Linked DNA regions of Rattus norvegicus. The protein of the gene in region 2 purifies or fractionates together with the protein of the main gene of each other region. This does not show direct contact. Links are inferred from orthologs where the notes say so. Each region holds a gene or a part of one and is shown on either strand. Other genes may lie near its edges.

Evidence for each region.
Region 1: the proteins of Ankrd17 (region 2) and Hoxb6 purify together in Homo sapiens (co-immunoprecipitation; 3 studies listed by BioGRID and IntAct, with this or other methods). This does not show direct contact. The link is inferred for Rattus norvegicus from reciprocal best matches to the Homo sapiens genes ANKRD17 and HOXB6.

Annotation. Positions count from the first base shown.
Region 1 is NC_086028.1:81,759,833-81,764,318, reverse strand, and holds Hoxb6 (homeobox protein Hox-B6), read right to left. Parts: upstream 2,849-4,486; 5' UTR 2,725-2,848; coding exon 2,310-2,724; intron 1,220-2,309; coding exon 960-1,219; 3' UTR 322-959; downstream 1-321. UniProt on the Homo sapiens protein: Sequence-specific transcription factor which is part of a developmental regulatory system that provides cells with specific positional identities on the anterior-posterior axis.
Region 2 is NC_086032.1:18,007,103-18,011,701, forward strand, and holds the start of Ankrd17 (ankyrin repeat domain-containing protein 17), read left to right. Parts: upstream 1-1,756; 5' UTR 1,757-1,891; coding exon 1,892-2,239; intron 2,240-4,599.

The DNA.
Region 1 (4,486 bases), on a different chromosome or scaffold from region 2:
AGGAGGCCTCAAGTGGAATCCCTCCAGAGTCTCACAACCAAGGCAAGCTTAGAGAACAAGAGGAAAAAGGCTTTCTCCATCTCGCACCTCTGAGTGGGAGAGGCAATTGTGAATTTAGCATCAGAGAGGCCCGACCAACGCTGGGGCCTGGGAGGACCGATCGCTGGCCTCTGCTTTTGACTCCTCACTTTTATCTCAACTGTAACTTCCGAATTGAGGCCCTGGGGCAGACCATGGTTCTTGCCTTTGCTGTTCAGGCTCAGGGGTGACAGGGTGGCTGGGGGCTATGGAGGGGGAAAAATGACAGGGAAGGATTGGATGTGATTGAGCTGCGGGTTTTCACATCTTTATTATCATCATCATCATCATAATCATTATTAATAATATTAATATTATTACCGAAGTATTTCACGTCCAGAGCTAAGACAAGACTACAAACACAACACATAGAAAATTAATAAAATAGAACTTTGTTTTCTTCTGAGGCTCCTCTTCTTACTTCTAGGTAGTATGTGCTCCTTCCAGTGGCTTTGGGGAGGGGGTAGGAGAGACAAGTCTGGGGTCAGGGAGTCTTTCAGGTCCCTGCTGAGGGGACAGCGAATCTACCATTGAACCGTGCACGGGGGACATGAAGGAAATGAGACTCGACAAGGACAAGAGCATTCTGCTCTGCTTCCAGGAGACATCAAGTGAGTCCGATTCTCAGTTCTCACCAGAGAGCCTGCTGAGGCCAAGGTGGGTTCTTCGGGGAGGGAGGAGGCGCTGGGGTGCTGGGGTGGGCATCCTTCAAGCGCCCAGGAAGAGCTCTGCAGGAGGGGGGCATCCAGGAAAGCGCTGGGCCCCGCCCGTCTTGCGCTGGACAGCAAGTCCCCCGACCGCAGAGCCTTCTGGGGCTTTCGGGTGCCCTAGGTTCCCCCTCAGACCTCTCCCTTCGCGTCCCCCCTCCCTTGGCAGCACCTTCACTCGGCCGGCTTTTCTTCCTCCTCCTCCGCACTGAGCTGAGACGCACTGAGCAGTTTGCTCTCCTTTTTCCACTTCATGCGCCGGTTCTGAAACCAGATCTTGATCTGCCGCTCGGTCAGGCACAGGGCGTGCGCGATCTCTATGCGCCGCCGGCGGGTCAGGTAGCGATTGTAGTGAAATTCCTTCTCCAGCTCCAGGGTCTGGTAGCGGGTGTAGGTCTGGCGGCCTCGCCGACCGCTGGGCCCAAAAGAGGAACCTGTTACGCAGAGAGGAGAAACTGAGGCCTGGGGTCACCACACCAAACCCATAGCCCCTCCCCCACTGGGCCCTCAAACGTAAAGCTAGCCGGTCGGGAGTTGTCTTTTCCCCCTCCCATTCCCTGATCCCCGTTTCCCACTCCTCCAGCGCCCCCTCCAGATTCCCTCCTGGACTCCGAGGCCTGTGCTGTGCTTTCTTTCTGTCTAGACTTTCGGTGGGGGAGGGGAGGGGCAGTTTGACTCCCACCTGAGCTTGGGGGAGGGGCTGGCCAGGTGAGTCTCCTACGAGCTGTATCTTTTCTTTCCCTTCTTTCCATTCATCCAGCTCTCCCTGCCCTACTCGATGATAGATTCTGGCCCTTAATCCATAATGACACGGATCGATTCATAGTCCGCATTAACAGCTCCTCACTTTCGTGTCGTGCTAATGGACATCAATTGGGACTTGAAGCCAACAAATAAACCAACGTGAGACCCAGGCGCCAGTTTGTTCTTCTCACTCCCTCCGCCTGTCCCTTCTCATTCTTCCTTCCTCAGACTATACTACCCCTGTGGTAGTGTCTCACAGCTCCCTAGTACCCCCGTCCCCAGTTCCCCTCCCCCAGCCCAAGGGAAACACAATCCAGGACCCTGTAAACTCGCCCTTGCAGGCGTCATGCTACCCCTCCCCTTTCATGACGCACTCTTGTTTTTAATGGAGTGGTCTTTGGGTGCGGGACACCCCCCCCCCCGCAGATCCGGACAAGAGAGGGAATATATCCGGAGAATATAGAGGAAAGCAAAATCAGAGACTGAGTCCCCTGTCCTCTTCCTGATCAATAATCCTAGCCTGACTCTCTCCTCTCTCAGAGAGCCCACTTACTCCCCCTGCCTTACTGTGCAGCTGGGACTTTGCAAACTTTGCAACTTCTGCGGGCAGGAGGACTGATCTGGAGGCCAGGGCCCAATCTTGCCCTATTTGCTGAGATGCCCATCTAGTTCCCAGTAGGAGAGTTGGGGTGAGAGGATGCTGACACTCGCTAGTTTTGCCTTTCTGTTTGCACCGCACCTCCCTCCCCCCTGCGTGGGACAGCGGGAAGTCACACTCACTGTTGCACGAATTCATGCGCTGCATCCACGGGTAGACGGGCGTGGAGCACTTCTGCTCCTCGGTCTCTCCGAACACGCTCTTGTCCTGTGCGCAGTCGGACTTGCGCGGCTCGGGGTGGAACGGGGGCGGCTCGTCGGCGCCGGAGAGGGCGCAGGCCGCGTCCTTCTCCCGGTAGAAGGCAGGCGCCGGCCCATAGTCACAGGGCGCCGCCCGACCATAGCCGCCGCCGGCTGGTGGGTAATAGGAGGACGCCGCAAAGCCCTTGTCCTGGCCGGGTCCCGGCCCGTAAGGCGCGGGATAGTGCCGCAGCGGGTCCGCATAGCCAGACGAGTAGAGCGGCAGCTGGCCCAGGAAGGACTCCTGCCCGCTGGCCAGAGTGACGGGGAAGGTGGAGTTCACGAAATAGGAACTCATCGGGAGGGGAGGCGCGCGCGGCCGCTGCTGCTCCGCCGGGTTTATGATTTGTTGTGTTTTATAGTCCGAGCGCCGCGCCTATTAGTAGTATAGCCGAGATTGGGTTTTAGCTGAGGGGGGATGGCGAGGTGCCAGTGAGGGCCAGAAGGAAATACAACCATCTGATCCAACACTGACCAATGGCAGAGGCAGGAATTGTCAAATAGCACCCAGGAGGAGCGCAGCCTGCACGAGGGACCCGCGCACAAACCTATCAACCTTTTCCCCCTCCTCTCTCTCTCTCTCTCTCTCTCTCTCTCTCTCTCTCTCTCTCTCTCTCTCTCTCTCTCTCTCTCTCCACAACGCGCCCTGATCCACCTACGTAGGATCTGCGAAAGAGACGTCTGTGCTTTTGAGGGAGGAGGAAACAGTTAGATGGAGATCATCCCATTTCCCAGTGATGAAATAAATACACCCTCCCCCCACCCCACGCAGGAATAGGGAAAAGTTAATTGTGTTTTCAGAAAAGTTAACCCCTGCGTGGCATGGGCCCGTTCCCTCAAGGGAGAGCTGGGTAAATGCCCTCGAATCTCGTTGAGAGAGAATGAAGGGGGAAAGTCTGTTTCTAGAATTTTGTGCTGGTAAGGTGGGGGGGGGTGCTCAGGAACGGACGGGTCCGCTTCTCTGCTTCATTTTAGAAACAAGGAAAGAAGAAGCACTCTCCTTCGCAGGTTTGGAAAATCATTTACTGTTTATGAGGTCTGTCTCCCCCTTTTAAGCTTAGGTTTATCCTATCACGACTTCAACCCAATTCTCGAGCTTAGAGGAGGGCAAACCAGATCCGTCTGCATAGAAGACCCAGAAGGAAATGCCAGGGGTATGTGAGCCCAGCTTCTCCCTCTGGCTGCTCCTCTAGGCCACTTGCTTCTGGCAAGCCGTCCTTACATCCTTACGCCCAAGACAGCTCAGCCATCCTGACTGCAGTCTTGACTGAGACTGGGGCCCTGGAGAAAGAAATTAGTAGTCCCTAAACTTGCTGATAAAGAGTGAAGGAGGAAGGGGAAACCCCAGCCTAGGGAACTTTACTTGTCTGCATCTCTATTCTTCCTGCAGCCCTCACTTGGTCTCTCATCCATCTTATCTCTCGTGCAAAATGATGTGACGATAATCCCTGGCTACAGATTTTTAGAATCAAGGACGTGCCCCTAAATCTAGATACTGGGAGAAATTGTCTTAGAAATGTTGAAGTTTCAGACCCTCATATTGGAGCCCGAGAGCTCTCTCTCTCTCTCTCTCTCTCTCTCTCTCTCTCTCTCTCTCTCTCTCTTTCCTGCTCTCTCCTTAAATTAGTCATTCTCTTTGAAATCCCATCCCAAGACTTGGTTTAGATTTGGTTTTATAAGGAGGGAAGGCTGCTAAGTCCTCCTGGGGACTCAGTCACCATCTTCCAACCACCAAACTGGCATGCTTGCTCTAGCTCTAGACACTCACAAACCCTCCTGTCTCTCAGATACTCTGCAGACCACCTCCCGTGCCTCAAGTTTGTATCACCTTCTCAGCTGCTCTAAGAGCTTGGGAACGGACGAGTATATCTATATTCTCTTCCTCTCTCATCCAAAGAAAATAAGGACAGATCCCAACCTTGGAGACACAGGATATTTCTAAAATGCCCACACAGGACAAACAGTGTATCTAACCTGAAGACAGGGAGGATTGGGTGTAAGATTGTGCCTGAGGTCAGGCCAGGCTGACCCACCTCTGCCTTGTTCTCTGGGCTCCTTTT
Region 2 (4,599 bases):
GTCATTCTCTCCATACTGAGGAGAGATCAGCCCATTTCTAGCATTTGGAAAATCAAAGGAATTTGTATCAGTGGTCTCAGTCTTCTTGTGAAATTCAAAGTCAGTCATAATGAAATGGGGCTGGCATTCAAAGATTGCAAAAGGTATTCAGGTGGAAAGTGACACAAAGGTGCTGAGGAATATAGAAAATGGCCAAGATCCCACTGGAACCAAGATACATAATACAGTGTTCTGTACAATGTTGTATAGCGGAACTCAGCAAAAAGGCAGGCACTTTGTATATTTGCTATTGCACACAGTACACAGAGAAGCCCCTGGGAACACAGACTCTGATTTCATAGATCACACACACAGTAGGCACATAATGAATTTTTGCTTGAATGAATTGATTTAGTCATCACCAATTCTTCTGTGGTACTCTGTAGCGTACTGGCAACTGCCCACATTTCATATGGTATGCCAGTACTAAAAAGAAAATGCAAAAAATAAAAAAAAATCAGGCACTCAGCTAAACTTAGAAGTCTTAAAATGGCAACTCTGTCAGTTGAGGCACTTTTTTATCTTGTGCCAGTACATCTGTCTTTGATGTTTGCTTTATTTTCCTTATGCCACTACTCGTACTAGACCAGAAGTGGCTAATTCTGAGTTCAATAAGCTACATAAACATGACGTGGTGGTGTGCAGACCTAATATCATCTCAGGAAAATCGCCAGTTCAAGGCTAGCCTGAGCTACACTGTTTCAAGAAGAAAGCTACATTTCAATCTGTCTGCAAGTTCTCCAGGTACTTAAAATGATCTCAGAACCCAGACCCAGAAATGCATACAATGCTGGCACCGCTCCCCCATCCACCTCTTCGGAACCGTATGGTCTTAAACTTCACTACTCAATTCCTGCATATTACAAAGGTGTAAAAGTCAGGTTTAGGCAGTCCGAGACAACTCTGGCAAGAGTTTTATCAAGTGAGGACAGAATCGCTCCAAGGTACGGTTGAGGGGAAACAGTTTTCTTTTGGACCTGGCAGGAGTCTCTCTCTCTCCTTTCACGAAGTTTCTCTCCGGAGATCCAAAGCCCTCTGGCTTAGGCGGTGGAGAAAATGGCCAGGCAGGAAAGTCCGTCCAGGAGGTCCGGGGCGAGGCCCCACCTCCCGGATCTGGAGGCCAGGCCTCCTGCTCGCACAGCTGCCCCACGCTTCCGCGCTCGCCTCCCACTCAGCCCCGGCCCGCTGCTCTCCATCCCACTGCCCCCGCTTCCCTGCACCCCCGCACGCTCGTGGGGGACCCTACTCCGCGGCCCTGGAGTCTGCACTTTGGAGAAGCAGGCAGAGATCCTCGCGCGGCCGCCGGGGCGCCGGCTGATGGCGTCACTCGCGCTTCCGCCTGCGGCTGCGTTCTAATCAGAAGCCAGGAAGGAAGGAGGGAGGGCTGCAGGGCTGTGTGTGGGGGAAGTAACGCGGAGAAGACAAGCCATCCAGGCACTCGCTCGTTCGCTTGCTCGCCCGCCCGCCCTCCCGCGGCCCCTGCTTGCGGTCCCCGCTCAGACTCGGTTTCCCCAGGGAAGCCATTCTAGGCGCACTTCCCCAGCGGCTCCTTCCGGACGCCTGCTCCGCTTTCCCGGGCACGGCGTTCGCGCTCCGCCTCGCCCCCCCTCGCCCTCCCGCTCCCTCACTCCCTCCCTCTCTCCCTCCCATCGCCAAGCTCCCCGCCCTTAGTATCGCGAGACGAGGTGAGAGCTGGCGGAGCGGCGGCGGCGGCGGCAGTAGAGGTGACCGAGGCGGTGGCGGCGGCGGCGGCGGCCCGGAGCGCTGTGTCGGCCCCGGCGCGGCCGAAGTCGCGGTAGAGCGGAGCCCCCACGCCCCTCCCCCGTCCGCGTCCCCCCCTCTTCCCGCGGGGATGGAGAAGGCGACGGTTCCGGCGGCGGCTGAGGGAGAAGGGAGCCCCCCGGCGGCGGCGGCAGTGGCGGCCCCCCCCGCGGCGGCGGAGGTCGGCGGCGGGGCTCGCTCGGCCTCGTCTCCTCGTGGGATGGTGCGAGTCTGCGACCTGCTCCTGAAGAAGAAGCCACCGCAGCAGCCGCACCACAAGGCCAAGCGGAACCGGACTTGCCGACCCCCCAGCAGCAGCGAAAGCAGCAGCGACAGCGACAACAGCGGCGGCGGCGGAGGAGGAGGCGGCGGCGGCACCAGCAGCAACAACAGCGAGGAAGAGGAGGACGACGACGACGAGGAAGAGGAGGTTTCTGAGGCAAGGGCCTGGTTTCACCTCGAGGAGGGCGGAAGGGACCGTGAAGGGCCTAAGGTGGGAGGGGACTTGCGGTGGGACGGAGCCCTCGGGGGCTTAAGATCTGCCTTGGGGACCAGGCTTTCGCCTGCCCCCTTTCTTTGCTCGGCCTGGAGTCGTGAGGTGTGGGAATGTGGGGGAGGGTAGCTGACACGTGGGGGTGGGAGGACCAGAGAGTGCACGGAGTTGCTGAGGAGCTTGTTAGCCTAGGATGCTTCTTCACAGGGTTCAGGGCGGAGGGATTGGTTAGATTCCCGGGTGGCACTTTGGGGCAGGAGGGTGGTCTCTCCGGGGCCAGTACAGCCACCTCATTCCCGGGGCGGGGGCGGAGCTAAAGCGGGAGGGGTAAGATAATAGGTAGGAGAGTCTCTGGGGGACCCACTGCGAGGTTGGTAGTTTTCTGTCAGTGTAAGGTGGCGGCGGAGAGCGATTCTGGAGGGCTGGTAAGATTGTAATGGACTCGGAGCTAAGTATTTGTATCTGGGAGAGACACGTGAGAAGCTGTACTTTTCCATACTGTTTTCGCTGCAGGGCTTTTCTCTCTCTCTCTCTCTCTCTCTCTCTCTCTCTCTCTCTCTTTCTTCCCTTCTTTCTTTCTTTCTTTCAGCTTGTGGCTGAAGTGATCATCACTTACTCGATTTATGAAAGATTTTGGATGAGCCGATCTTACATCCATACGTATGCGTTTACAAATGGCTTAGTACATAAAAATTCTTGTTTGGTGCTCTACGCGTGTATGTAGTGCTTCATCAGGTTCTCCCTTAATAATCAAGCCAGGTCCCTCTTTTATTTAATTAATTAGTTAACCTTACTTATTTATTGTCAAGTAAGTAGGGAAGAAGCGTCTGCTTTGCACCCAGGTTTGATTGTGATTGGGACAGGGAGGCCTATGTCCTAGTGATCTGGTTTCATAACTCTTTATAGTTTTTCCTGGGTCTACAGACAGGCGGCGTTGTAGGACCTTATTCCTTTTAACCCAAAAGATTAATGAACCATACTGATAGCCAACTACGACCTACCAGTTGTTAGCTCTTTTAGAAGGAACCCTCCTGTCAATACTAGGAAATGGAAGCTTTAAACACCCTAAGATGGAGGAAATAATAATTTGGGGCAGCAGAGGAAAGAAGTTGTAAAAGTTGATTAAAACTTTGTTCTGGGAGAGAAGACTTAAGTGAATTATCCACAAGTACTGCTTGCCACTTACTTCCTTTCCTAAACCTAGAGCCCGGAAAAAGTCTGCTTTTGAGTTAATTTTCTTTTCTTCTTCCTTTCCAGGTTCTGTTTAAGTAGAGTCCTTGGAAAGGGACTTGAGGCTCACCTGTTAGCAATAAGACAAAAAAAGTGTTTTAAACCTAGATTAGATGAAGCTACATAGAAAAAGTTCTGAGTAGGACTGCATACCCCAAAGTTTATCCCTTCTGTTATTTCTGCTGTGGTGAATTTGTATGGGTAGTTTGTGCTTGCTTATTTATTGTTTGGGGGCAGCGTGTTGCTTGGGCTTCATTATAAGCAATGGAGACAAGGCTTAGTGTCTAGCAGGCCTAAGGCCCTAGACACCATTAAACAAACAAAAAGAGAAAATAAAACTTTAATATTGAAACAGTGATGAGAAAGATGTGATGGAGTCCTCTTCTGTTTTGATGCTTAGTATTAACCAGTTTTATAATTCTCAGAAGTGGGAAGGATTTTCCTCCTGCAGCTTAGGCTCTTTATTTTAAAACTAAGGACAGCAAGGTTTAAAGAAAACTAGTTGTGTCTGATAGCTGCAAAAGTAGACATCAAGGTTTTTAGAGACCCAGTGAGAGCTGTACATTTTGAAAGTGAATGGTTCATTTTGTCTCCCTTCTGACCTATTTCAAAAACTGGTGCTGGACTTGATGTTTAGCAGCTGTGAGGAAAACACCAGTAGCAAGGTTTTAAGTTTTCTAACATTAAGCTCTGGTTTGGAACAAAGTCATACACTTAGTGTCATACTTAAAAGAAGTATTCTGCTACAAACTGCACCTACCTAGGTAGTTTTGTCTATGGCCTAATAATTCCTTAAGTTGTAGATGGTTTGAAACCTGTAGGAATGTTAATTTTGTAGGTCTGAGTTTTTCATTTGAAATAAATATTGCTGTTTTGACTTTGACCAACTAAGACAATGTTGGTCCTTACTGTGCTTTGCACTGTCATCTGCACGGGTAAAGCAGTAGGTTTGTCAGTGTTGGGTGAAATACACGTAAGAAGACTGAGCCCTTGAGTATGTATGAGAAATGGGCAGGGTAGAAAGAAGTGGTTTCCTTCCGCACTGGCCCCATGCTCTGAGGGAGTGGGGGGTGAGC